Linked DNA regions of Macaca mulatta. The protein of the gene in region 6 interacts with the protein of the main gene of each other region in a pairwise test. Links are inferred from orthologs where the notes say so. Each region holds a gene or a part of one and is shown on either strand. Other genes may lie near its edges. The genes, in order: KIF5B, BICRAL, SFR1, KIF3C, TRIO, CDC5L and EXOC1.

The links.
Region 1: the proteins of CDC5L (region 6) and KIF5B interact in a two-hybrid assay, tested with the Homo sapiens proteins (2 studies listed by BioGRID and IntAct). The link is inferred for Macaca mulatta from reciprocal best matches to the Homo sapiens genes CDC5L and KIF5B.
Region 2: the proteins of CDC5L (region 6) and BICRAL interact in a two-hybrid assay, tested with the Homo sapiens proteins (2 studies listed by BioGRID and IntAct). The link is inferred for Macaca mulatta from reciprocal best matches to the Homo sapiens genes CDC5L and BICRAL.
Region 3: the proteins of CDC5L (region 6) and SFR1 interact in a two-hybrid assay, tested with the Homo sapiens proteins (2 studies listed by BioGRID and IntAct). The link is inferred for Macaca mulatta from reciprocal best matches to the Homo sapiens genes CDC5L and SFR1.
Region 4: the proteins of CDC5L (region 6) and KIF3C interact in a two-hybrid assay, tested with the Homo sapiens proteins (2 studies listed by BioGRID and IntAct). The link is inferred for Macaca mulatta from reciprocal best matches to the Homo sapiens genes CDC5L and KIF3C.
Region 5: the proteins of CDC5L (region 6) and TRIO interact in a two-hybrid assay, tested with the Homo sapiens proteins (2 studies listed by BioGRID and IntAct). The link is inferred for Macaca mulatta from reciprocal best matches to the Homo sapiens genes CDC5L and TRIO.
Region 7: the proteins of CDC5L (region 6) and EXOC1 interact in a two-hybrid assay, tested with the Homo sapiens proteins (2 studies listed by BioGRID and IntAct). The link is inferred for Macaca mulatta from reciprocal best matches to the Homo sapiens genes CDC5L and EXOC1.

Annotation. Positions count from the first base shown.
Region 1 is NC_133414.1:33,415,977-33,420,124, forward strand, and holds the start of KIF5B (kinesin-1 heavy chain), read right to left. Parts: upstream 2,802-4,148; 5' UTR 2,356-2,801; coding exon 2,230-2,355; intron 1-2,229. UniProt on the Homo sapiens protein: Microtubule-dependent motor required for normal distribution of mitochondria and lysosomes. Can induce formation of neurite-like membrane protrusions in non-neuronal cells in a ZFYVE27-dependent manner.
Region 2 is NC_133409.1:139,355,109-139,359,150, forward strand, and holds the start of BICRAL (BRD4-interacting chromatin-remodeling complex-associated protein-like), read right to left. Parts: upstream 2,801-4,042; 5' UTR 2,754-2,800; intron 2,028-2,753; exon of another isoform or gene 647-2,027; intron 1-646. UniProt on the Homo sapiens protein: Component of SWI/SNF chromatin remodeling subcomplex GBAF that carries out key enzymatic activities, changing chromatin structure by altering DNA-histone contacts within a nucleosome in an ATP-dependent manner.
Region 3 is NC_133414.1:116,280,848-116,284,898, reverse strand, and holds the start of SFR1 (swi5-dependent recombination DNA repair protein 1 homolog), read right to left. Parts: upstream 2,801-4,051; 5' UTR 2,741-2,800; coding exon 2,728-2,740; exon of another isoform or gene 2,643-2,727; intron 1,977-2,642; coding exon 1,855-1,976; intron 1,248-1,854; coding exon 837-1,247; intron 1-836. UniProt on the Homo sapiens protein: Component of the SWI5-SFR1 complex, a complex required for double-strand break repair via homologous recombination. Acts as a transcriptional modulator for ESR1.
Region 4 is NC_133418.1:99,013,693-99,017,769, forward strand, and holds the start of KIF3C (kinesin-like protein KIF3C), read left to right. Parts: upstream 1-1,277; 5' UTR 1,278-1,917; coding exon 1,918-3,462; intron 3,463-4,077.
Region 5 is NC_133411.1:15,573,322-15,577,519, reverse strand, and holds the start of TRIO (triple functional domain protein), read right to left. Parts: upstream 2,802-4,198; 5' UTR 2,418-2,801; coding exon 2,261-2,417; intron 1-2,260. UniProt on the Homo sapiens protein: Guanine nucleotide exchange factor (GEF) for RHOA and RAC1 GTPases. Involved in coordinating actin remodeling, which is necessary for cell migration and growth. Plays a key role in the regulation of neurite outgrowth and lamellipodia formation.
Region 6 is NC_133409.1:137,702,698-137,706,198, forward strand, and holds part of CDC5L (cell division cycle 5-like protein), read right to left. Parts: intron 1,938-3,501; coding exon 1,793-1,937; intron 1-1,792.
Region 7 is NC_133410.1:77,615,710-77,619,210, forward strand, and holds part of EXOC1 (exocyst complex component 1), read right to left. Parts: intron 2,172-3,501; 5' UTR 2,162-2,171; coding exon 2,038-2,161; intron 74-2,037; coding exon 1-73.

The DNA.
Region 1 (4,148 bases), on a different chromosome or scaffold from region 6:
TAATCAGGCAGCTGAAGCAGTAGAGTCGCTTGAACTTGGGAGGCGGAGGTTGCAGTGTGCTGACATCACCCCACTGCACTCCCAGCCTGGGCAACAAGAGCAAAACTCAACTCAAAAAAATCTCAAAAAAAAAAAAAATCAACCAACCAAAAAACAACTAAAATGCTTATCAGTTTACCTAAAGGTTAACTGTTCAATATGGATTCACAAACCAACAACCTATACATTTATTCCTAATATTACCGTTTATATAGAGTACTGAAATTTTGAAACAGAACTTATAAGCAACTTTTTCCCAATGGAAACCTAGAATAAATGTATGTTTCCTTTATTCATTTTCCTTTAGTTCTTTCTTCATAGTTTATGTCATATCTGGGCCTCATCAAAGGTTACCTTCTAATCTTAATACATTTTATGAATCCTAAATTTTAGCATTCCAACAAAAAGAATCATAGTGATAACTACAGATCTGTGTAAACACAAAATCTGAAGAAATAAGACATTCTTAAGACAAGTGTAAAAGGAAAAATAGGTTTGTTATGTGCCAACCACTGCTGAAGCTGAGTACTGTAAATTACAAAAACTCTTAAGAAACTAATGGCCTCAAGTGTGACAACTAATCTAGGCCTTGCAAGCCTCCAGACTATATGTAAAATATACCATCCTAAAGGAAAAGGATTACTGCACTTAACTACTCCTACTCCGCCTCTGCCAACCTATGATGTCATTTACACAAGAGGTTTTCTTGTGCACTTGTTAACAAAGAACTGGCCTGACAATCTTTACACAGTAATAGTTGGCAGTTGTTAGTGGCCTAATGACTTGTTTGCCAAAGGCCTACCAAGGAGCTAAGACATTCATTTTTCGGAGCTGAACTTTGGAGAAACTTTCACATCAAAACCCTAAAGAACTTTAGTCTGTCTTCAGTGTCAATGCTTTCAATCATCCTTGTCCCATCTCCTGTGACCTCTGCCCTATTTCCAAATTAAATAGCCCCATACAATTATTAACTACAGAATGACATTAGAGGAAAAATTAACATATTAAAATTTCATACTACGGTAACAATGTAGAAAGTTAGTTCTACTACATAGCATTGCCAAGAAAGATCAACATAATTTAGTCACAGTTCACTGTTTCGTATGCCATACTTTACAATTAATTTTTAATCTCCTTCAACTAGGAGTGCTATTTTCTCAGACCTTTCAATGCCAGAGATCAGACCTTAAAACACCCTCACATTCTGGTCTCAAATGATCACTCAACTCTAGTTATGTTTTACATTACAAAAAAACAGTATCTCACTATTCTTGGGATTACCAAAGATCAATTTTCTTCAAGATAGACCTTAATTGCAGAAGTATGAATCTAATACTGGTCAATTTTTATCTTTTTTATAAGCTTGTTTTTATAATACTTTGTCTGATATAAAAACAAATAGCTGATACTTTTTCCTAGGCTGTTATCCCATAAAACCTAGCAAGAGTGCGATTTGTCTTTCGGAGCACTTATCTGACTCAACCAAAGTCGGCTAGGTCTGCTAGATTAAACAAAATTGATCATTCCGATTTATTAAAAAAAAAAAAAAAAAAGCTCAACTATTTCTTTCTACAATCATCCATTTACCATTTGTAATTGTTAACATGAAAAGTCATTCACCACTCAAAAAGTGGTGGGTGAAAGTTTGAGGTGTAGATAATATTTGTAGCTGTTTGGTGCTTTTTCCTTCTCCCAGGGGGAAACAACACGGTTCAAGGACTGGTTATGTTTCTATAAAACTAAGTATCTTTACTAAAGCATAATACGGCTTGTCTCACAGCTCAATGTCCCCAGCTGAACTTTATATAAGCATTACATATTTTCTGAATGGCAAATTTGGGGTTAATCCAAAACACCAATATCCGTAATTGCACACACAGAAACGCAGACAAACGTGCACTGAAATTGCTCCCCGGACGTTCCTCCGTTGCCGCAGGTGGGGGAGTGTCCAGGGCTGAGGCTGGGCGCCTCCCGTCTCCCGGCGCCAAAGACCGGGGTGGGGGCGATCCCGGAACGCACGCGAAGCTGCGCAGTCTTCCTCCACTGGGTTATCTGAACCGGCAAACCCCGCCGGGGAGGGCTGGGGACACCGCTGCTCCCTTTCAATTCTGCACCCTGCCACTTCCCTAAACTCTCTGCACAGCCCGGCCCGAAGAAGCGGGAGGAGGGGTGCCGGAGGGGGTCACTCACCGCGATCACGACCGTGTCTTCTCCCTGAAACTTGGCGACGTACTTGTCGCCGCGGTTCACCTCAGACTCGTTGAGAGGTCTGAAGCGACACATCACTTTGATGTTGCACTCGGCCAGGTCCGCCATCTTTCTCGCAGCCGGGGCCGGCGGCCGGGAGCCACTCCCGGCTGCTTAGTCTTGCGGGGAGCGCGACGGGGCTAAGGGCCTGGGGTCGCTAGGGCCGTGAGAGGCAGCAGTCAGCTGCGCTGCGCAGCGCTTCCCCGGGCGGAGGCGGCCGGGGAGCCGGGACTCGAAGAGCCGGCGCCGGCAGCCGTTACCCTAAGGCTCACTTCCGATCCATCATGGCAGCCATGGCGGCGGCGGCACCGGGGAGAGCGTCTGCGGCTCCTCAGCGACGCCCTCGACGGCCTGGGCGTGCTGCGGAGGCTGGGGAGGTTCTGGGGGCCGGGAAGCGGCCACCTTCTTCCTCCTCGCAAAGAGCAGATCGGGCCTACCCGTCCGCCCGCTCTGCTGTCCGCTGGCCGGCTGGCCGGCTGCTGCCCTATCACTCCTGAGGCCGCCGTTGGGCGACTGGGCGGCGCGGGAGGAGGAGTGCGCAGGCGCGGTGGGCCGGGAGGCCCGGCGACCAATCCGTGCCCGAGCTCGCAGCCGGTCTCTGCGGCCGCGCCGCCGGTTCCGCCACCACTCCTGGCCAGGAGTCGCAGATTCAAATTTTACAGCACTGCCAGTCTCGCAGAAGTGCCTGGGGACGCAGGGCGGCAGCTCCCAGTCGCCATCCCCAGCCGCCGAAGAATCCCCCAGAGCTAAGGCAGACGTACTTAGCTTTCTTTTCTTTGGGGGAGAAAGGGTTTGCTTTAACTACTTAATGTGGTTTGTTTAAATAAATCACTAGGCTGGTCCGGGTGCGGTGGTGTTTGCAACTAGTTGATGACAGCCAGAGATTTGTTTCTTCTCCACTCCCGCTGTGTCACTTGACCAGCTTTAAAATTAAAAACATAAAGTACTATATTCCTAAAAGAAAGTGTTGCTTTCATTTTTTTCTGGCGGCGGGAATCATTCCTGGTCTACCTTTTTAGAGCGCATTGCCAGAAAAAGTAAGATTTCAATGAAGGGTAACTCTTTCCTGAGAGTGGGATGTAGGGAGACAGGAATAAGAAAGAAAAAGGAAAATTTTCCTGAGGAATGAAGAAGGTTGCTGAAGAAATGTGGAACAGCAGGGTGAGGAGGGGGAAGAGCCCTCAGCCCCCCTCACACAGCATCTCTGTCACTTCATCTGCCCAGTGCCTTGTATCCAGCCCGCACCCACGCCGCCCCCACGCAGTTCAGCGAATTCCCGCCACTTCGCCGGCAATGAACATACGGAACTCATCAATCCCAATACTGGAGGAATGACTGACCTGGAGCATAAAGATGGTCTTTATAAAAGGCCTAGGTAAATTTGTGCATTACATATCCAAGGAAAACCACTCCATAGCTGATTTTGCCTTCTAGTTTTAGAAGATGAGTACCATAAAATTCCACGGGGAAGTGGATCTGAGGAAGTGGCTCTGAGGTGCTGCGGAAGAACTGCAGTAACACCTCCTCCCCCGGTCCCCAATTTCTGTTTGTAAAACGAAGGATTGAACTATGAAAACCTCCAGGGCTCCCTGTGCTCACCCAATCATCCTAATACCTCCAGAAACCAATTCAGAGTTCAACAGATTCAGGTTTATTAATCCACTGCCTTGAAGAAGAGCTCAAGCTCAAGGAACCTTAGAGCATCTCACCAAACAAAAGAATAGATGGAATTAACCCGGGGCTTTCTGGGAGGTGTGGAGTTCTGATAACATTTCAATGAAGCAGTGTTTTGAGAGGCCCCAAGCAAGGCAGAGCTGCAAGTAAAGGCATTAACATCAGATCTGGCCAGGGGTGGTGGCTCA
Region 2 (4,042 bases), about 1.7 Mb from region 6:
CCTGACACACAATTAAAGGACCCCATTGGCCCTAGCAAATGATGGTGGAAGAGGTGATGTTACAAATCTCTATTTAAAAACATCTCCCAAGTTAATTCTGATGCTCAGATTTGGAAACCACAGGTGTAGGGGGAAAAACACAGCTTTCGTTATCCAATGGCAACTTTACTAAAAACTGCAAGACCTCGAACAATTACTATACTTCTGTGAACGGTAGTTCATTCCCCGGTAGACAGATCATAAAATCACTATTTCAGGGCTGATATAATAGAAATTATACAAAGCATCAAGCACAGTTTCTGGCATACAGATGTTCAATGAGATAGGTCTTATTAAATGGTCTAAAACATCCACTATGTATATTTATAAACACAAGGACACACCTACTGGCACCACTGTGTTATTTTTCTATACTAGAAATTAACTACTTACTTTCCATGTCTGCGGACTTCTAGAGAAATCAGAGCTTTACAAATCTTTCCCCTCCTCTTTTCAGTAACAATGTAAACGTTAAACCCCTCCCCCATCTCTAACACAGATACTTACTACCAACAGATACTTACATGGATGCTTTTAGGAAAATAATGCAGTTTTGCTTTTTAGAAGAGTTTCAGAGTGTTTTAAAGCATATTTAACTTTTCAGATCAGCGTTCTAAGAAACTTTTAATTCACTGCCATTTGAAGTAATATGAAAGCCAACAAGAAGTTTCAGAAAACTGGAACCCATCACCTTCTCAATCTGACTAGTAAATGTCTCCTCATGGTTGTTTTAGAGTAAAACTAAGAAACGAAGCGTAGGGTGCCCACAAGAGAACCATGTTACGGGAAGGCAGACAGACAATGTCCTGGACTCTTTTTTTAGTTTTGTAACCTGGTTGGACTCTACTTCCAATAACTGGAGAATGAAGGAAAAGCCTCAATGCCCTGCCCCCAAGCCGGGCCAGAGAAGACAAAGGCGTCCACTCTCAGATGGCAGGAGAGAAATGGCAGAAGCGCCTCACCTCCAATTTTGACTGGGAGGAGTGGGGGTGCGGGGTCAGGGAGGGAACCCATCAGCCGCGAGGCTCGACGCCCAGTCCCCTTCTTCCATCACAAGTGGGAAGGAGGAAGAAGCTGACCCCAGCCCTTCCCGCTCCGAGCTGGCGGCCTCGTCTTTTGGGTCTGGGGCCGTGGGGAAGGAGAAGGCCGCGCGACCCCAGTCCCATCTCCAGAATTCAGCACCCTGCTCTCGGCTCCCGCTGGCCCCGGGCCTCGCGGCGCCCTGGTCAGCGACATGTCCTCGGAGGGCGCCGCCCGCGCCGCGAGAAAGATGGCGCCCGCCGAGCAACTGCGCCACCAGCCCTGGCGACAGGCCAGGCCCAGCGCCATCTTAGCGCCTTCCAACCGCACCCCCCACCCAAGATCCCGCATTCGGGGCGACTCGGGGGGCGCGAATAGCATCAGGCCCGCGCGCACTCGGCCAAAAAAGCGCCGTCCCAGCCACACAGCTCTTCTGGCCAGCGCGGCGGACAACACGGGCCTCGTAGGAAACGCCCGGCTGGGCCGCGAGTCCTCCGCCCGGCTGGGGACTCAGCCGGACCCGGCCGCGGATCCTCCGCGTGGCTGGGGGCTCGGCCGGATCCGACCGCGGATCCTCTGCGGTGCTTCAGAAGGCAGCGAGCGGCTGGGAAAGGGCAGTCCCGCGGCAGGTGCGCGCCGCCGCCGCGGGCTCGGAGCGGGGCCAGGGCGACTCGCCGGCCCCGAGCTCTCCCCGCCGCAGCCCGGACCTGCTTTCCTCGCCGCGGCCGCCCGCAGATGCGGCGGGAAGGACGAAGCCAGGATGAAAAATAAACCCCGTCTCCGCCGCCTCCCTCCCCACCCTTTCCCCTCCCCCTCCCCAGACGCGGGGTCCATTTTGCCGAGAAGAAAGAAAATGTGATTCACACCCTAGAGCTTCCGAGAGAGAAAAGAAACGAGGGGGGGAAAACAGAGGGGAGGAGATTGGAAAAGCTTATTTTTCTTCCTCGCCCGCCGTCACTCCAGGCCCTCCCTGCCCCCTGCTCGCGGCCCCGCCGCGCCGTCTTCCCCTCGCCGAGCCCTGCTCCCTCCTTCCCGGCTCCCGGCGGCTCCGGGGGGCGGAAAACACACTCACACTCGCGCACACAACTAATTTTAAACCGGCTCAATCAATGAGTCATTAAAAGGCTTCCCTCCCCTCCCCTCCCCACCACCAACCGCCACGCCACCCCCTTCCCGGGCTCTCCCTCTCCCCGCTCCAGAAATTTGCATCCGCGGAAAAGAGAAAAAAAAAAAAGGAAAAAGAAAGGCGCCGGGCCCCCACCTCGCCGAGGCGCCCCCGGCCCGGCCTCGCCGCCCCCTGCCCGCCTGCGCCCCCGCCCGAGACACTGAACTTGGTCTTCCCGGGGCCCCGGCAGCGCTGGGAAAGGCATAAACACTCGATTCCCCTTTTCTCCGTGTCCATTAAACATCCACCCACCACCACCATCACCCACCCACAAACCCACCCCCCCCAAAAAAAAAAAAAACACAGCCTTAGCCAATAGCTCTCTGGGCTGAAACCTAATATCCTGGTTTTGGCAACTCGGTGTTTAATTTGCTCCTCTTTCTTTTCTGGCTGGAGACAGATCTCCAGCCCCCCCTCCCTCGCTTTTCCCCTCCCCGAAGGAAAGAGGCAGAGGAAGGAGGTTGTGTGTTTTTTTTTTCTCCTTGAAATTTTTATCACAAAATTATAATACACTCAAAGGGAAACTCACCGTCATGAAAAAGCAGTGCCTTGTCAACGGGGTTTCTGCGCCATCGCAACAGGGGCGGCGGCGGCGGCGGCGGCGGCGGGCGCGGGGCGCGGGGCGCGAGCGCGGGAGCTCCCGGCCGAGCGGCGCCGGCCACACGCGCTCCGCTCTCTCTCTCGCTCACCCCCGCGCCGGGCGGCGGGCGCCCGCTCCCCGCGCCCGCCCGGCCTTCATGCTCTGCGCCCGGGCAAACCGCTCGCCTGCTCCTCTACCTCCAAACTTCGGTTCTCGCCTGGCAAAAAATGTGGAGATTAGGATTTTTTTAATTAAAAATTTTTTTTTTTTTTTTTTTTTTTTTTGGTAAATCAAGCTCCAAGGATGTTCATTCCTGTTTCCTTTGGGATTCTTTTTAACTTCAGAAATGTACTGGTTTATTCAAGAAAGTTTTATTTGGCTTTAAAAAAAAATTATTAAGATCCACGAGGTGCGTGCTAATTCTCTTGCAGGCTCTCTCTCTACACACACACACACACACACACACACACACAGTTTTAGCTTGACACGCGAACGGGGAAGATTAAAGACAAAAAAAAAAACCTACAAGATTTGTTTAGAACTCTAATTAGAGCAAGCCTCAGTAAATACGTTTTGCATATGCTTTTTAAAAACCAAAACCACTTTTAACTTAGTTATTAGGCAAATAACTGGTTCGTCCTAACTTTTAAATGTACTAAGCTTTCCTTTGCAACACTCTTTCTCCATTCCAAAATTCGTGAAACCTTACCTGTGAAGCCCATATGTGAACATTAAAAAGGAAAACAAAAAACTTTAGTGACCAAAAGGAAGGTGAGGCAGAGTAAATCACTCTCAAAACATTCTACTGCCTTCTCTTTATGTAGATACCTTTTATCTCCATATTTGCGGAATTTTCATTACATAACCCCCTCATTCTTAAAAGAGAGCTAGTCAATCTTTTAACATTCTTTGGTCCAAGTATAACTACCACCCATTTTTTAATCTGAAATCTCAAATTGTTGAAACTTCTCTGTATCCAAAGCATTTAAATTATGTGGCCCAGGGCGGGCGCGGTGGCTCACACCTGTAATTCCAACACTTTGGGAGGCCGAGGCGGGTGGATCACCTGAGGTCAGCAGTTCGAGACCAGTCTGGACAACATAGTGAAACCCTGTGTCTATTAAAAATACAAAAATTAGCTGGGCGTGGTGGTGGGCTCCTGTAATCCCAGCTACTCGGGAGGCTGAGGCAGGAGAATCGCTTGAATCTGGGAGACAAAAGTTGCAGTGAGCCGAGAT
Region 3 (4,051 bases), on a different chromosome or scaffold from region 6:
CCTGTAGTCCCAGTTACTAGGGAGGCTGAGGTGGGAGGATCACTTGAGCCCAGGAGTTCAAGGCTGCAATAAGTTAGGACTGTACCACTGTACTCCAGGCTGGGTAACAGAGACCATGTCTCTAAAAAGAGAATGAATAAATAAAATACACTTTTTACTCCTAAATTTTAAAATACATTCAATACTCCTAAATTTTATTTTTAAAAAACCCTAAAATTTCACGAGAACAAATGAGATATGCTATCTCATCATTTATTCCACATAGTTGGGGGAAAATGAGCTATTGCATATATATGAATTTTCCAGGTAATAAAGGTTATCTCCTTCCATGTACTCAAGTTCTATTTAATTCAACCTATATGAGTTGAAATCTAAAATCTAATATATATTTGTTTTTTTCTCAAATAATATGGCTGAATCACATTAATTATTTGGGGGAGACACAAGATCATAAATAAAATACCTTTTATTGTACTCTACAGCCCATTTTTAGTTTTACTAATTGACTGTCAGCTTTCACTTCTGTTCCCGTCGTACTTGCATCTAACATTTAATACTTCTAATATTGCTGTGGGCTAGAAACTAGAAAGAAAAGTTTAACTGCATATTAAATAAGAGCTGAGATTCTTAAAAAGTTTTACCTGGTGTTTAAGGGCCTTTTCTACTCTAAATCTGGAGTTGAATTAAAGTTGTTGGAAGCCAGGTTTCTGAATATTTGGCTTATTGCTTATTATGATAAAAAAACAAACACACACCTTATTTTCTATTTTTGAAATTACTTTCCTGCAATTTATGTAAAAATAAAAATGATACAATGGTCCCGAAATTCTTCTCACCTTTGATCTATACATTTTGACTAGTTTTAGCCTCCGAAGAAGGTCTTCTTTCTCCTGAACCTGCTTCACCAATTTGGCTTTTTCATCGTTTAATCTTTGTTTAGGAAGATTCTCATTCATGAACTCATTTTGGAGAGCACTGCATGATCCAGAATGAAGTGACTGAGATTCACAGACACTGAGATTCTTCAAAGTATTTTTCAAATTTGTATTTTCTTCAAATTCACTATCTATGTGTTTAAAACTTTCTTGAAATTCCAAACAGTTTTCCTCTGTGGAAGATGCTGGTTTGTCTGAAAAGGTCTGATCATTTTCTTCACTCTCTACTTTAAGACGTTTCACCACATTGTAACAGGAATTAAATGAAGATCTTGTTTTCCTTAATCTTTCTCTAAGTGTTGCACTCATAGGCTATAAAGAGCATAAAACATTAAAAATGTGAATCAAGAAAAACATTCTTGATGTCAATAAATCACCAGAAATAAAGGCCTTACATTTCTGTGCTAGACACCACTAGATGGCTTTCTGTCTCCACATCTAAAGAAGGCATCACAAAATGTCTTTAATTTCTGGAAGCTCCATTTGTTCTATTTCCTTTTTACTTCAGCAAGATCAACACCTTTCTAAAAGTGTTGAAAGGTTTATCCCAGTAATCAAGGAACATTTGTTCAGTAACAAGCACATGCCTGACGGTACTCCAGGTGCTTCAGAATTACAGAGTAAGGAAAAGACCTAGACCCTGCCACTAAAGACCTTCACAATATTGCACAGATTCTAACTTTCTCCATTAATCTGAAACTAACTGAAATGAATTGATTCAAGAGGAAAATATGGAAAGGGGCTGGTGGGTGTCATATATGTGACCTTAGAAGAAAAACATAAAATTGTTTAATAAAATGTCTACTTATTTATGCTACACATTATGTTAATTAACAACCTTCAGTAGAATTTAAACCACCACTGCCACAATACTTAGAAACACACAATGGATCCACTGGAAGGACAAAGATTTTCATACTTGTTTTCGTGAACTATTTGTATAGGGAGATGATGGATTCGCAGAGGCCTGAGGAGTGCTAGGTAAAACCACAGCTGAGTCTGACGAACTTTCCATCTTGAAAGTGAAATCTTGGTTTTTCTCTAAAAAAGAAAAATTATTAAATGAGAATCAAATTAGCCACACCTCTCCATAGTCGATTTTTATCAAAGAATATATTTTATTGGTGTACAAAGCATCCACAAGTAAGCCAGATATTTCTTCTAATTTCACTTTGTAATTCATTATTGCTCTTTTTGCAGTTTTCCATTTACCTTCCCACAAAGGGACCACTAAGATTTTCATGACACATCAACCAGCTAGTATCTCATAGTCACAACTCTCCTTGTTTTCTTTTCATCCACCAAAATATATTCAAATTCTGCCTTGGAAGAAGGGAATAACAGCTTTAATCAGGAATTCTTTATGATGACAGCTTCATAATTCAAGAAGATATAGCCGAAACTTTGACTCAAAAACAATAGGACCTGAATGTCACCCATCCTGAACTCTACAAGCTGTGACTAGAACCCGTTACCCTGCCGGCCCGAGGCATAAGAAACACAGCGGAGATGCATTTACGCCCTTTTAGTTTAAGCAGCGAATAGGCACTGAAAAGGAGAGTGGACTGAAATTGCTTTCTCCGACAAAGGCATCAACTTTTGAGAGGCAAACCAGGGGCGGGAGTAGTCCCCTCCTTCCCCCCATTGCAGAAAGCCCACTAGATCCCCGAAGACCCCATGGATGAGGTGAGGTTGAGTTCCCCAGACCCGGAAAAGGAGCTCAACTCGACTCCACAGCACACTCCCGGGGAAGCCCAGGTCTCAGGTAACCCCCTTCCCCTCAGCTGAGTACCTCCCTCCGCCATTCCCAGCGAGAGCAAAAAGCGCGCGCAGCTGCGGCCGTAAATCGATCCTGTGGCAGGGGCGGGGCCGTGCGGCTGGCGTAGAAGACGCGCAATTGGCCAGACTGACTAACGCGCGAGACGCCGCTTCACTCAGCGACTCAGAGCGGCGGGACTGCGCGCGCGCCTCCGCCAGCCGGCGGTTGGGGCGGGGCTTGGCCACACGATAGGCGGCCTAAACGCGTGATTGGCAGAATTAACCGGTGCGCGCGGCTCTCCCTGCCCAGCGCCCGAGGGCAGCGGGAGTGCGCGCGCGCGGCTGTGATCCGCAGCAGGTCTTCGGGGCGGGGGAAGCTGAGCTTTGGAACGACCAACCGATCCTGAGGGGGGCGCGCTTCCGTTGGCGGCTTCTCTTGTCTTATTTTCAACCGCCTTCCCTTCAGGCTTCCTTGTTTTTGTGCGTCTGTGAAGTGCGCCTGAAAGTGCCTCCCCCTGCCTCCGCCAGCCCGCCGCCTCCATTCTCTGGCTCCAGTCAGTCTCCTCTCCCCGCTCGTCACAGAAAAGGCTTTCCTCAGATGTGGCGCGGCCAGAAGCCGCACGGCTGGCTGCATGTTAGATTTACAGCTTGTGGACTCCCCAGAGGCAGAGACCACAAGAACAGCGTTGGGTTCCAGCCTGTTGAGAATGAAACATGTTAGAAATCTATCCGAGAGTCCTGGCACTTTAGCTGAGCTCATCGCTAGCTTTTTTGGCTGCCGCAAACTCGGCGGTCCCGTCGCTAGGTTTTTTTTTTTTTTTTTTTTGTAAACAACCGTTTCTGTACCTCAGTATTCAGGCTTCTTAGCGTGACCTCAAATCTTTTACTCAAATCTGAGGGAAAATGTAGCCCAAGGAAGTTTGTTGTGGCGCAACACAGGAAACAGAACAATCATTACATGAGATTGTGTCGGTGCAAAATTCAGATGTTTGAGACCGATAGGGCCTTTGCCGGCCACCGGGCAGCAGCATCCCCAGTCGAGAAAATCCACCCCCCCGACCCCCCGCCACGCTTCCAGTGTGGCGAGGTTCTGTTGCTACGCGACGACAAAGTTAGCTACACTGGGTGGAGCACTGGGTTTAGGGAAAGAGTTGTGTAACTTCTGAGTCGCGTGGAAGTTGGGAATTTCCAGGGGCTAGTGTTTTCAGTCCTCTTATTGAATGGCCGTTTTAAACATTGATATCGTCTCTTTACTATTAATAACATCTGACAGTAATGGCTTAGAAGTGGCCAGAAGGGAGTTACCTGAGCCTTAAGCAGTCAGGTATAATAATTACAGAACCTGAGGACTACTTAAG
Region 4 (4,077 bases), on a different chromosome or scaffold from region 6:
AAAGATTAAGACTCCCATAGAGGAACACTAAGCACAGACATGGTCTCTCCAGGATACTCAAGGAAGCAGGAGATGTCAGGCAATCCAAGCCAGGACAGGACTTCTCGTGGTACAGTACTTCATGAGTCATTATTTCATTTGAGCCTCCCAACCACTCCATGAAGTAGTTGTTAATTATTTCTTTCCTGCCTCGAATTTTTTAAAAAGTAAATGAGGAAACTAAGGCTGGAACAAGAGGAGTGATATCCACTCCGTTGGATGGTCATCAGAACTGGAACTTCAATCCAGGTTTTGTTTTAGGTAAATTCTGTGCCTCTTTCACTATAGGAAAAAAAAAATTGCTAAGGGAAGGCTTCGTGGAGGAGGAGATGCTTGAACTGCCCCAGTGGCAGGGCACTAAGTGCCGAAGGGTGATAAGGCTTCTGGGCAAAAGCACAAAGATGCTGCATAGCAAAGCAAGTTAAAGAAACAAAACAGGTTCCGGGAATGTGCACTCCTTGAGGACAGGAAGAACCCAGATCCTAGAATGGGGCCTGGGACTCAGCAGGCGCTGGATAACTGAAGAAATGGCTGTCTGGAACACAGATTTTTCTCTAGAGGAGTAGTGGAGGTGAGGTTGCGAAGTCGGGAGATGGAGAGGCTTTCACACAAGGAAGGCGGTGGAGGAGGAGCGAGGGGGCCCCGGGTGCCTGTGCGGACCTGAGGTGCCAGAGAATCAGCTGGAAGGCGGCTCCAGCAGAGAGAAGAGGAAGGCCAGAAGTAGACCGGGACAGGGGGAGGAAAGGACAGAGTCAAGGAACATTTAGGAGTTCGGTTCCAGGAGGCCTGGCGACACCCTGACGGGGAGGGGTGACGCGCACCCATTTGCAGGCAGAAAGGCAGGAGCAGGGGGGTGTCCGAGGATGGTGGCTCGGAGGGACCAGGCGTGGGTGGTGCAAGCTCAGCAGTCACTCAAGGGGTGGCATGCCGATGAGGGAGGCGCCTCTCGGACTGGGGGACCGGGAAAGGCATTAGCAACCTGCCAGAACCCGGTTAACAAAGGCGGGACTACAATTCCCGGCATGCTCGGGCTCGGTGGGGTGACGACGGGCGGTGGCTGCGCTGCAACCGACTGGTGGGCGCAGGACTTGGGTCGGCACCGGAGCCTGTCATCCCAGAGCGGTCGGCGGGGGTGCAGACACGGCGATGCGCCCCTGTGCCCAGCACCCGGGCCGCGCCGGGCTCGCGCCTCCCGCCCCGCGGCCCCGCCCCCTGCCCCACCCCAGCCGGGAGGCTTAGCTGGGGCCGCAGCGCGGCGGCAACATCACTCTTGCCGCCGCTGCTCCGCCCCATCCCCTTCTGTTTTTCTCTCTCATTCTCCAGTGGCGGCGGGGAAGGCGGAGGCAGAGGCAGCAGCAGCCGCGCTGGCTGCAATGAATGATCCCCCAGCTTGCGGGGAGGACTCCAGGTGAGCCTCTGCCCTCGGGAGGCCTGGGACCCCCGGCCGCCCACGACCGGCAGCCCACGCTATGGATCCCTAGAGGAAGGAGGAGAAGACAGCTCGCTGCCCACCCCCATCCCATTTTCCTCTTCCTTTATCTCATTGTTGCCGAAGCTGTTTACGGCAGCGCTCCCTCTGCTCCGGCATGGGGCGGGCTCCGGGCACGGCTGCTCGGCAGGCGCTCCTTCCGCGGCGGCTGGGCGATTCTGCCTAATTCACCTCCCAGCCGGTGCAGAGAGGACCGGAGAGCGGTGGAGGCCCGGACTGCAGCAGCGTTGGGGCCACCTCCCAGCGTCCCCACCCTAGGAGGCTGCATGCGGATTGAAGAGCGGCGCCTGGGGACTGGGCCGGCCCCGCTGATCCCGACCTAGCGAGCAGGACAGCAGGACCGCCCAGGCTGCGGAGGGGCTCGGGGGCAGGAAGGTCAGAGCAGCAAGATGGCCAGTAAGACCAAGGCCAGCGAGGCCCTCAAGGTGGTGGCCCGGTGCCGCCCCCTCAGCAGGAAGGAGGAGGCTGCTGGTCACGAGCAGATCCTTACCATGGACGTGAAACTGGGCCAGGTGACCCTGCGGAACCCCCGCGCTGCCCCGGGGGAGCTGCCCAAGACCTTCACCTTTGACGCTGTGTATGATGCCAGCTCCAAGCAGGCCGACCTGTATGATGAAACCGTGAGGCCCCTGATAGACTCCGTGCTCCAGGGTTTCAATGGCACGGTGTTTGCCTATGGCCAGACGGGCACTGGCAAGACCTATACCATGCAGGGGACCTGGGTGGAGCCCGAGCTGCGCGGGGTCATCCCGAACGCCTTTGAGCACATCTTCACCCACATCTCCCGCTCCCAGAACCAACAGTACCTGGTCCGGGCCTCCTATTTGGAGATCTACCAGGAAGAGATTCGAGACCTGCTCTCCAAGGAGCCGGGCAAGAGGCTAGAGCTGAAAGAAAACCCTGAGACGGGCGTCTACATCAAGGACCTCTCCTCCTTCGTCACCAAGAATGTCAAGGAGATTGAGCATGTGATGAACCTGGGGAACCAGACCCGGGCTGTGGGCAGCACCCACATGAATGAGGTCAGCTCCCGCTCCCATGCCATCTTTATCATCACCGTGGAGTGCAGCGAGCGTGGCTCTGATGGCCAGGACCACATCCGAGTGGGCAAGCTCAACCTAGTGGACCTGGCTGGCAGTGAGAGGCAGAACAAGGCAGGCCCCAACACAGCGGGAGGGGCAGCCACACCATCCTCGGGTGGCAGTGGTGGCGGTGGAGGCAGTGGTGGCGGTGGTGGTGGAGAGAGGCCTAAGGAAGCCTCCAAAATCAACCTGTCATTATCTGCCCTGGGCAACGTGATTGCTGCCCTGGCGGGCAACAGGAGCACCCACATTCCCTACCGGGACTCCAAGCTGACCCGGCTGCTCCAGGACTCCCTAGGGGGAAATGCCAAGACCATCATGGTAGCCACACTGGGGCCAGCTTCTCACAGCTACGATGAGAGCCTCTCCACCCTGCGCTTTGCCAACCGAGCCAAGAACATCAAGAACAAGCCCCGGGTGAATGAGGACCCGAAGGACACGCTGCTGCGGGAATTCCAAGAGGAGATTGCCCGCCTGAAGGCCCAGCTGGAGAAGAGGGGGATGCTGGGGAAGCGGCCCCGGAGGAAGAGCAGCCGCAGGAAGAAGGCCGTGTCCGCCCCGCCTGGGTACCCTGAGGGCCCGGTGATTGAGGCCTGGGTGGCAGAAGAGGAGGATGACAACATCAACAACAACCGCCCGCCCCAGCCCATCCTGGAGTCAGCCTTGGAGAAGAATATGGAGAATTACCTGCAGGAACAGAAGGAGCGGCTGGAGGAGGAGAAGGCAGCCATCCAGGATGACCGCAGCCTGGTGAGCGAGGAGAAGCAGAAGCTGCTGGAGGAGAAGGAGAAGATGCTGGAGGACCTGCGGCGGGAACAGCAGGCCACAGAGCTGCTTGCGGCCAAGTACAAGGTAAGGGCTCCAGAGGAGCTGGGCACTTGAGAAGTCCCTGCAGGGAATCCTGGCAGGGAGGTTCTTCTTTGAGAGTCTGTGACCTGGCCTGAAGCGGAGATCCTCCCTCAGCACCACACACTGCTCTCCTGCCAAATGTGCCCCCAGAGCAGCCGGGCAAATTGCTCTGATACCGGACTGCCAGGCACATGCACAGGCACACACACACACATGCGCGTGCACACACACATGAAGCAAAGCGGACAGGCGGTCTCTCAAGCCAGTGAGCTTGGGGTGGTCTGACCTGCTGCGGTCATTTCCTGCTGGTGGCCTCAGGATCAGTCAGGTCTGTGGGATGGCCAGGCAGCCTCTCGTGAATGTGGATTCTCGTTCCTTCACAGCCTCCTCCCCTGAGGCTTCCTCCCTCTGCAGCATCTTCAAACCTCACATCGTTTTAATAATATCATTTGGTTAGTACTTCAGTTTACAAAATGCTCCACATATATGATCCATACATGATCTCATTTGATCCTTTGGCCATCCAGGGTCACAGTTCTGAAATCCCCATTTCAGAGGTGAGGAATTAAAGCTCAGAGAAGTGACATGACCAAGGTTCCATCCTATGAAGTGGCAGAG
Region 5 (4,198 bases), on a different chromosome or scaffold from region 6:
ATGCTAGAGCCAAGATCTAGGTCAGGGACTCAGAGCTGCCCAAAAGAGATTTCACTTTTAAAAAGACGTTCCAGGTTATCCCCGGAATGGGACGCTGCATCTGATGATACCTACTTAAGTTCTGCCCTGGCTCCTGGTTCCAAGTGAAACAACTAAAAGTTAAGTTTGTCATTTCAGAGGGGGGAAGAAAGGAACAAGCCAGTGAGCAACATTACCTGGTTCTGACCCAAACGGAACATGAACAGGAGCCCCAGCGGCTGGGTCAGCACAGGCCTAAGCAAAGCCAAGAGCAGACGACAACTCCTGGAGAGAGTCACGCCGACAGGCAGCAAGTCTTCGGTGTCTTTTAGGGAGGGCTCTTAGCAGCAGAAGTGATTTTTCTACTATGCATAATAGAGATGTAAAAAAGCCTGGTCTCACAAGCACCAAAAAATCCATCTCCAACGCAGAAGAGCCTTTCTAACAGCTGTAGAGGAGCTGAATTCTGCACAGAATCTATTATTCTGTGACAGGTGGTAGAAAAAGAAGACAGGCTAGACTTTAGCTTCAGGGCATGAATGGAATACGTCCCAGTTCTGCTATTAAGAGGTAAGACGGGGCTGCTCTACCTGGCCAGTCGCACCGGGGGAAAAAAAAAAGGTGGGGGGGGGAGGGTGGCTTTCTTTAGAAGGAGCTCATGTTTTCCTAACCTTTGCTTTCTGCAGGGACCTCACAAGGAGAGTGAGCACTGGGGAGTAGATTAACCCCAAGCTAACACTGGACAGTCGGCTGTGTCACTCCTAGCCACAACCAATCTGCTAAAATGAATCAAAAATAACCCCGCCTAGCAAAGATCAAGACAACCAAGGGAAGACAGTACTAAACCAGGTATCTACCAGCACTGCTAACTTCTCACTCTCACCATCGCCCTCCCGCTGCAATTGCTCCTTGTGACCCGGATTGTGGAACTGATCTCACCGAATCTGGGGAGGTGATTTTCAAAGAGGCCACGGAAAAGCGTGAGCCGCCGACCTCCCGCGCGTCCCCCAGGGCAGGGCTGCTCCCCTGGCCCGTCGGTGTCCCCAGCCCTGCCGTCCTCCCCGGGGCCGCCACCAGCACCCCCGCCCGCCTCTCCAGGCCCCGACCTGGCCCGCCCTCCTCCGCTCTCCAACGCAGAGTCTGCATCCTCCCTGCCCCGCACCCGGCCAGCTAAGGATTGCGCTCTGGGCTGCGGGCCCCGAGGCCGCCGCCGCCGCCGCCGCCGCCGCCTCCTGCTGCTGCTGTTCAGCCGACGCGCGAGCAGACGGGACTGGGCGCGGGGACGCGGGACACGGGGACGCGGGCCCGGCTCGCGCGGGATCTGGGCCGGGGCGGGAGGAGGCGCCGCCGCTGGGGTACCGGGGACGCCCTGTCACGCCCCCTGCGCACCAAACCCGGCGCCCCTCCCACGGACCGGTCGCCACCCGCGCCTCTCCCGCGGCCACCTCCTCCACGCCGGGGTGGACTCGGGGCCACCTAGCACTGCCTCCACCTCCACGCCACCCATGCAGTGCCCCGCGAGCCCTAGTCCCGCACTGCCCCCCCGGGGCCACGTTCCCAGCTGACCCTCCCGGATCGTCCCCGGAGACAATGGCTCACCGCGCCTCCCGGCCCTCCGAGCTTCAGCTCGGCCACCGTTCCCATTCCCTGGGCAGTGAATGCCGTAACTGCCCCGTTTCACAGAAGTGTAGACCGAGGCTGGGGAGATGACAGGCTAGCGGGCCAAGCAAAGAAACCCAGCTGCTACTGGGATCGAGGAGGGTCCAGGTACAAATCAGGCACAAACAGGCACAGATCAGAGACCAATTTCCCGTCCCGGACCGGCCCCGGCTCAGTCCGCTCGGTCTCCGGGGTAAGAGCCTCCGCCCACGCCATCTCCGCCGCCGCCTCCTCGGTCCTCCAGCGAAAGAGACAAAGAGCCGGCGCCCCAGCCCGCGAAGCCGCGGCTGCCGGGAGCGGGAGACCAGGGGATTCTGCCCTGGAACGAGGGGCGGGTGTAGGGAAGGCGAAGTGGTGGCGTTCGGGCCAAGCTGCCGCACGCCGGGCTGCGCGGGCAGCGGGACACGCGGATGTGGGGCGGGCAGCCCCGGCGCGTGGAAGCAGTGGCCCCAGGCGAGAGCGTGCGGGCCCCAACGGACGGGTGGGCACCGGCGCGTGGTGGCCGGAGCCTGGCAGCTCCGCGGCGGATCGGCCGAACGCTTGGGGCAGCGCCGCTGGGCTGGCCAGCCGCTGTTGCACTCACCGGATCGGAAGAAGGCCGCGATGTCGGCCAGGTCCTTGGCCGCCTCCTCGGCCCCCTCGCCGGCACCGCCCCCGCAGCCCGAGCCAGCCGCGCTGGCCGCCGCGGCAGGACCGGAGGACGCGGCGGGGGCGGCGGCGCCGCCGCTGCTGCCGCTCATGGCTGCGGCGGCGCCCGCGGCCGCGCCCGCCTCGGGCCCCGCGCCCCTAGCGCCGCGTGCCGCCCGCTCTGCGCCGGGCCTGGCGGCGCCGAGCACCCAGCTGCCCGCGCCCGGCGCGCGGACGCAGAGCCCCGGGGCGGCGGGGGGCGGCGGCGGCGGCTCGGCCCAAGGAGCGCGCCCACATAGACGAGGACTCCGCCCGGTAGCCGAGAGCTGGCCGAGGGGCGGGGGCGCGGAGCCACGGCCTCCGGGGCGCCGGCCGGAGCGCTGGCAGCAGTGCGCGCCGCCCGGACGCGCAGTCGCGAGGGCGGGGGCCCGTGGCCGGCGAAAGCTCCGGGATCACGGGCGCCGGCGACTGCCGCGAGCCTCCATCTTGATTTCAATGGGGAAGGAAGGAGGGGGAGGGGAAATCACGGCCGAGGGAACCCGGGTGAAAGGAAAAGGGAGAGCAGGGAACGGAGAGGAAGGAAAAAAAAAGAGGGGCTTCGGGAATTTCCGGCGAACCTCGTCAGGGGCCGAGCGTGGGCTCGGCGGTGGGCGGAGCCTGGGGGGAGGAGCGGGGCGGGAGGGGCGGTGCCGTGTCGGGCTGCTGGGCGCCCGCGGGGCCGGCCGGAAGGCTGCAGGAAGGTTCGGTTTGGTTCGGTCTCCCTCACCCAGGCAGCTGCAAGCCTTGAAAGGATCAGGAAAGCTCTGACCAGCCCGAGCGGACCTTCTCAGGCCCGGCATTGCGCCCCCCACTGGGGCCCTGGCTCCTGCACCGGAGCGCTGTCCCCTGAGCGGCGAAGCGTTTCGTCGTCTAGCCCGCAGGGCGGGGTGACGCGGTCCGGGGCGGGTGCCTCCCTCGTGGGCGCAGCGCCGGCCCTGGCTCGGGGAGGGGGCTTCTTAATAGTTGTTGAGTGAACAGAGAGGGCCTGATAACAGGTTATCTACTCCAGTCCTGGAGTCCACGATACTCCTACGGGTACACGGCTCTCCTGTAAGATGGGATTCCTCTCGGTGTATCCCCATCTCCCAGGGGACTTTAGGCTGCTGAACCTCGGGTTCACGGCTCCTCAGTCCTTACTCCGCCAGAATGAATGGGGAAGATGACGAGGTCTGGGGAGGCCAAAAAATATGGTCCTTTGCAGAAGATCCGTGTCAAATCAGCGCTGGACGAATATTCTAGTTCAAAACGCCTATGCCCCGGCTCCAAGGAGAGTGAAAGGATCCACTGTCGGGGGGAAACGGAAGCAAGAGACGGAAGCAAGAGATATGAAAAGCAACTGGGTGGTGAAACCACCACACGAGTATACTGGAAATAGACAAATATAAATGGTGGATGGTGGCTATCAAATCTTCACCGTTGGAGTGGGAGGTTACAGCCAGGAAGAGGCTAGAGTGATCCTTGTGGTACAGAATTAGAGTTGGAGACATCGGTATGGACTCATGTTTGGGGTCTATATCTATATTATGTATTCATATATATATAATGGGTCTGTACAGAGATTTGTAGATAGAGGGTAGTACACATACTTGTATCTCCTTGCTTTGTCAGCTGAGTGGGCCTAGACACAACACTGTAGCAAGGAATACACCTAGCACTCTGATCTTGCTTCTAATACCATTCTCCAATAAAAGGAACCAGAGCTCCTTGAGGAAATGGCTGATTCTAGGACTGGAACAGGAAATACTCAAGGTGTGCCTGGAGCACCTTGTGCCAAAAGGTGAGGAATTTGCTCCCCCCGTGAAAAGAAAAATTTTTAATCAACATCAGCAGTGGTGGGGGTACCTCAAAGGGACAC
Region 6 (3,501 bases):
AAAAAAAAAAACCCTATTTTAACTGAGAGCTGACACATCTTTAAATTTCCACATTCCAGAAAAACGAATTGCTAAAGCTGTGTGATTAGTATCAGGGGTTCTCGGTAGTACTCATCTTTTTTGTGGCTTTGAAAGTTTCCATAATATAGCTTTAGAAAGTCTTCCTTACAGAATGTGAGGGGAAAATTCACATTTGATATAAAATCAAGCTACAAAGGCTGTATCTCTATACTGAAATTCTTTCAAATCAACGTATCAATGTACCAAGAATGTAAAATAGCAGTATTTATACAAAATTGGAGGAGGAAGACTGAAAACCAATTAAAATATCACACAGAAATACTCCAGTGAGCCACAAGATCCCTAAGAAAATCTAAAGGTGTTGTGTTAGTAATTTTACCAAAATAAATATCCTAAGGTGTACTAAGAAAAAAATTAAAGACAAAATTTCAATTTAATAAATATCCCCACTAGGAATGTCAGGATACGACAAAATTAGTTTATGCCCAAGAATCTTGTGTTGATGCAGCCAATGTGCTCACAGGGGGAAAGAGTTCTTCTGGTCTCCTAAGTCCTTTCTTCTGCACCATTAAATCTGTCCAATTCTACAAAGCTGTACTACTCAAAACAGAAAAAAAAGAAGGTTAGCTAGGCACAGTGGCTCACACCTGTAATCCCAGCACTTTGGGAGGCCGAGGCAAGTAGATCATGAGGTCAAGAAATCGAGACCATCCTGGCCAATATGGTGAAACCCTGTCTCTACTAAAAACACAAAAATTAGCTGGGCATGGTGGCGCACGCCTGTAGTCCCAGCTACTTAGAAGACTGAGGCAGGAGAATCACTCGAACCCGGAAGGCAGAGGTTGCAGTGAGCCTAGATGGCGCCACTGTACTCCAACCTGGCGACAGAGCGAGACTCAGTTTCATTAAAAAAAAAAAAAGGTTACTCTAAGGTCCCATGTTTCTGATCAACTAGAATAAGTAAAAAGAAAACAGCCTGTAACAAGCTGAATGAAAGAATGTTTGTATCTTTTCTCCACAACTCCTACATTGATTTTCGTAACTGTTGTCTCAAAAAAGACAAGCAAAACACAACAAAACACTCCCTGGGAGAAGGTAGCTTAAAGTCCACAAAGCCAAACCACACCTTTACCCTTGTCAGCTACAAAAAAGAAGCCTAAAATCCTAACCTGTTGACAAAATGTTAAGAGCTGACGATTACTTACCAAACCATCATATGAGCAGTTTAAGACCTGATACAATAATTTATACAGAGAAGCTGAAGCTATCTTATCATACTATATCACAATTACTTGTGGGTTTTTCTTTTTCTTTTTTTTTTTTTTTAGACAGAGTCTCACTCTGTCACCCAGGCTGGAGTGCGGAGGCACGATCTTGGCTCACTGCGACCTCCACCTCCAGGGTTCCAGTGATTCTCCCGCCTCAGCCTCCTGAGTAGCTGGGATTACAGGTGTGTGCCACCACGCCCAGCTAATTTTTGTATTTTCAGTAGAGACAGGGTTTCACCACACTGGGCAGGAACTCCTGTTGTCTTGAACTCCTGACCTCAGGTTATCTGCCCATCCTGGTCTCCCAAAGTGCTAAAATAACAGGCGTGAGCCACCGCAGCCAGCCCACAATTACTTGTTTTTATGTGTGTCTTACCCATTAAACTGTGAATTTCTTAAGAGCATCCAGCACAAACCTGGCACACAGGCCTTCAAACATTTGCTGAATAAATGATATAAGCATATAAATTCACATAGTGAAAAATTTGCTTTTATCAGATTACCTGAGGGGCAGGAAGTACTAGTTTGCTTCTCTTTTTAGTAAATTCAGAAACACCACTAGTTTGAAGAATAGCTGATGGTAAATCAGATTCTTTTTTCCTTTTCAAATGCTGTTTGTCTTTTTTTCTATCTCTTCCTTCTTTTTCACTGTCATGGATCAAGGTAGAAAAGACATTTGTAAGTTACATATAGGCAAAAACATTAAAATTCATACAAATACTCATACCCTTTGAACAAACCAACCTCATTTCTAAGAAAATAACTAAAAAAGCCGGGTGCAGGGGCTCACGCCTGTAATCCCAACACTTTGGGAGGCCAAGGTGGGTGGATTACCTGAGGTCAGGAGTGCGAGACCAGCCAGGCCAACATGGCGAAATCTCGTCTCTACTAAAAATACAAAAATTAGCCAGGCGTAGTGGCGTGTGCCTGTAATCCCAGCTACTCGGAGGCTGAGGCAGGGGAATCACTAGAACCTGGGAGGTGGAGGTTGCAGTGAGCTGAGATCCTGCCACTATACTCCAGCCTGGGCGATAGAGAAAGACTCCATCTCAAAAAAAAAAAAGAAAAGAAAAGAAAAGAACTAAAAAAAGGCAAAAACAATATGCATTAAGTGGTCCCCTACACCATTACTTACTATATTCAAGATAAAAGCAAACTCAGAATAGCAATAAAATTATTAATAACATACCCTAAGTAATTGAAGTACTAAATATTAAAACATATAAGTATGAAGACTGTGATAAGCAAAACATTCCACATAATGTCAAAAGAAAAACTATTCCTATATTATGAACATTCAATGAAAATGTGTGTGCACATAGGAAAAAGTATGACAAGTATGTAAAAAGGACAATGTGTATGAAAGAAATAATATTAAAATATAGTATTTAAATTTCCCTTTAAAACTTACTAAATTGTCATGATTCTTAAAATTCACAAGTTTTTTAAAAAGGCTGTTTTAATACTGACAAGCAACATCTAAACATGATTAAGACGCCTAAAGACAGGCTCGAAGCAGTCTTTCAAAGCTCCAGGAATACCTCCTCCCCTTCTGCGTCTTTCTTGCCTCCCCCACTTAGTACTCCTTCCAAATCAATAGTTTTCCTGTTCCGTCTCTTTACTTGTACAGCCTACCTAAAGCAAAGTCCTAATTTGAGGAATAAATACAATGGAGTACATCTAAGAAAATCCTATTTTACAATGGCCGATAGCTGTTGTTTTGTAACAATTCATATCAACAGAAATTAAAGGTCAACAGAGCAGAAAACTTTTAAAAATCCTTGACAACCATAAAATACTTTCCCTACAATATTCAGATATGAGATTTAAAGAAACTAAAATTCTCAAGAAATAGGGAAAATCTGCTATCTTCTAAAACATAAAGATTTTATAAAAGTGTATCTATCCCATCAAGTGAAAGGATCAGTAGTTTTTTCTTTTAATTTCATCTTAATAAAAACAAAATTTTTCACTAGAAAAGACTAAAAGGGCCAGGCGTGGTGACTCACGCCTGTAATCCCAATACTTTGTGAGAGAGGCAAAGGGAGGACAGTTTGAGCCTAGGAGTTTAAGGCCAGCATGGATAATATGGCAAGACCCACCTCTCTACAAAAAATAAAAAATTAGCCAGTCATGGTGGCACACATCTGTAGTCCCAGCTACTTGGGAGGTTGAGGTGGAAGGATCACTTGAGCCTGGGAGGTGGAAGATA
Region 7 (3,501 bases), on a different chromosome or scaffold from region 6:
CTTTTGTAGAAATCTCCCTTATCGGATTTCTTGACTTTGACCACCTTAACCTGCACAGGGCGTTCAGTTGTCACTGTTAAGTAAAACACACACTTTTATTAGAAATATTACTCCTTTCACTCATTCTTCTTTTGCTCCTTGCAAGTATAGCTTTCAGGTGCCTAGTAGCTGATACTAAAAGAGGTGTAATACTTTGCAACAAGGGCTTTGACTGAGGAAAGCACAGAATCCTAATAGAAGCATCTCAGTCAGACTAGAGGTTCAGAGTAGACTCCTTGAGAAATAAAGGAATAATATATTAATAACACATTAATTCAGACCAGTTTTAAAGAAAAGTATGAGGTAAAAATCTAAAGAATGATTGACATATGTAAAGTCTGCGAGGCTTGAAAGAGCAAAATAGCATTTCAAAGAGCAACAATATATTTACATATAAAGGTCTTACTATGTTGCCCAGGCTGGTCTTAAACTCCTGGGCTCCAGCCATCTGCCCACCTCAGCTTCCCTCAGTGCTGGAATTACAGGAATGAGCCACTACTCCTGGCCTAATAATTTCTTTATAGCAATGCAAGAATGGCCTAATACAGATACATTATAATTGAGTGAGGTCATTCTAAAGAGTCAATTTATCATTTGAAAAACCAAGTACAATTATACACTACACTAACAAGGGAGAAAATTTTATGATACTATCAATGATATAAAAAGCAGTTGATAAAATTCAACACCCATTCATGATTTTTTAAAAAAATTGGAAGAAATCAGGAATAGAAGGGAACTTACTTAACACTGTAAAGGATAGCTATAAAAACCCTCTACCAAATATCATGCTTAAAAATGAAGTCATTCTCTTTGAGATGGAGCCTGGATGGATAGTCCTAACTAGGAAACTAAACCAACAAAAATAAATAAAAGATATAAAGACTATAAAGGAAGGAAGAAAAATATCACTACCTTCAAAGAGTCTATAAATAATTGGAATTAATAAGAAAGTTTGGCAAGATTGATAGATATCCATATAAAACACCAACAATTCATTGTAGAATTCTAACAATATATGATTTTAAAATGTATTAATGTTAAAAAGAGCTTTCATGACTATCAAATAAAATCTAAGAATAAATCAATACCCAGGAATAAATCCAACAATATACATGCGAAACCTTTAGAGAAAATGATGAAACTCATAAAAGTTATAAAACACCTAAACAGAGAACTGTACCATGTTCATCGACACAAAAGATTCAATACAATAAAAATGTAAGTTCTCTCCAAATTGAACTATAGGTTCAAAACAATTCCAATCAAAATCCCAACAAAGTCTGAAACTTGACAAGTTGTTTCTAAAATTTAGGTGGAATAAAGAACAAAAACAAAATAAAAATAAGATATAAGATGATAACCAGAAATGCTCACACACACCACGACAGATGTCGACACAGGTGAACTAAGACTAAAATGTAAAAGACAAAATTATAAAACTTTTAGAATTTAGGAAAATATTTTTATGACTGTACAAAAGATATCCGGGAAGGATCTTTAAGACACCAAAAGGGAAAGCCATAAAGGATTAATTAATTTCATTTAATTATATTAAATTATAAATTTCATTAAAAGGCATCATAAAAAGTGAAAAGACAAGCCACTACCTGGGATGCATACAACCAACAAAAGACTGTAGAAAGATTATAGAAAGAACTTGTACAAATCAGTAAAAGGACAAGCAACACAATAGAAAAGTGAGTAAAAGGCTTAAACAGGTAAATTTCATAGACAAGAGAATGCAATGACCAAGAAATTCATGAAAAGATGCTCAATCTCATCATTATAGGGAAATACAATTTAAAACCACAATGAGATACTATTTCACTACCACCAGATTGGCAACAACTAACAGCCTGTCAAAGCCAAGTGGGAATTTGTTGACCCAACAGTTTGTTCAATTATAGAGACAACTGGGATATTCAAAACAAAAGGAAATATCTCCTAAATAACAAAAGGATACAAAACAAGTACTCTTTCTTACTAAATACCCACCTGTGGCACATAAAAAACAGTTCTTTTTCTTTTTTCCTGCTTTGCAGACATTCACAATGCTCAGCAGGCGTTCATCATTTGGTGTAAAAATGTCTCTTTGTAACGCATGCTTGATCGCTGTCATCTTTTCTCAGCTGAAAAATTTGGAGTATAGATATTAAGCTCACTCTGAACATCATTCCACCTTATACTTCTGAATTTATGATTTGAAAATGATTTTTGGTTAACAAGCCTAGGAAAAACGATTTACTATATGAATACACCTATATCACAAAAATATAAAGCTGGAAGTTTGGAAATAAAATTAGAGAACCAGTGTTATCAAAATCTAAAATGTTTGGAAATGCTCACCGAGTATACACACACACACCCCCCCCACAAACACAAGATTTAAGAAAAAAATCTTCAACTCCCTGCTCAATCTTTAAATAGTTTTCTACATAAAGAACCCTTACAACTCAACAATAAAAAGACAAATAACCCAATTAAAAATTGAATAAAATACCTGAATAGACATTTTTCCAAAGGTATACAAATGGACAATAAGCACATGAAAACATGCTTAACATCACTGGCCACTAGGAAATGCAAATCAAAACCACAATGAGGTGTCAACCACTTTATACTCACAAGGGTGGTTAAAATAAAAATGATAGAAAATAGTAAGTGTTGGTGAAGATGAGAGGAAACAGAACTCTTGTACGTTGCTGGCGGGATTGTAAAATGGTGCAGCCACTTTGGAAAACAGCTTAGTGGCTCCTCATAAAGTTAAACATGGGCTACCCTACAATCCAACAATTCCACTCCCAGGAGAACTGAAAACATAAGTCCACACAAAAATTTGTACATGAATGTTCATGGTAGCACTATTTGCAATGGCCAAAAAATGGAAATAACAGAAATGTCCATCAAATGATATATAAGTAAAATGTGGAATAGCCACACAATGGATTATTCGGCTACAAAAAAAAAAAAAAAAAGGAAATGAAGTAATGAAACATGCTACAGTATTGATGAATCTTGATAAGATTATGCTAAGCAAACAAAAGACCACGTATTGTATGATTCCATTTATATGAAATATCCAGAATAGGAAAATCCATAGATACAGAAATATAAGTGGTTTTCAGGAGCTGGAGAGGAAGGTGGAAAGGAGGATTGACTGCTAATGGGTATGGAGTTTCTTTTTTGGGGTGATGACAATGCTTTTCAACTAGATAGTAATGATGGTTGTACAACCTTGTGAATATGCCAAAAATCGCTACATTATATAACTGAAAAGGGTGAACTTTATCATATGTAATCTCAATAAAATTGTTATAAAAATAGGTTTCCACTTATCTCCTTTATCTTACCTAACTCAGCATCTTTTCAAACATCAACTTAAGTTAAAATAATTTTTAATCTCTATTTTATTTTTCATATACATATTTGTGTGGATATATATTACTATTTTTTCAACGC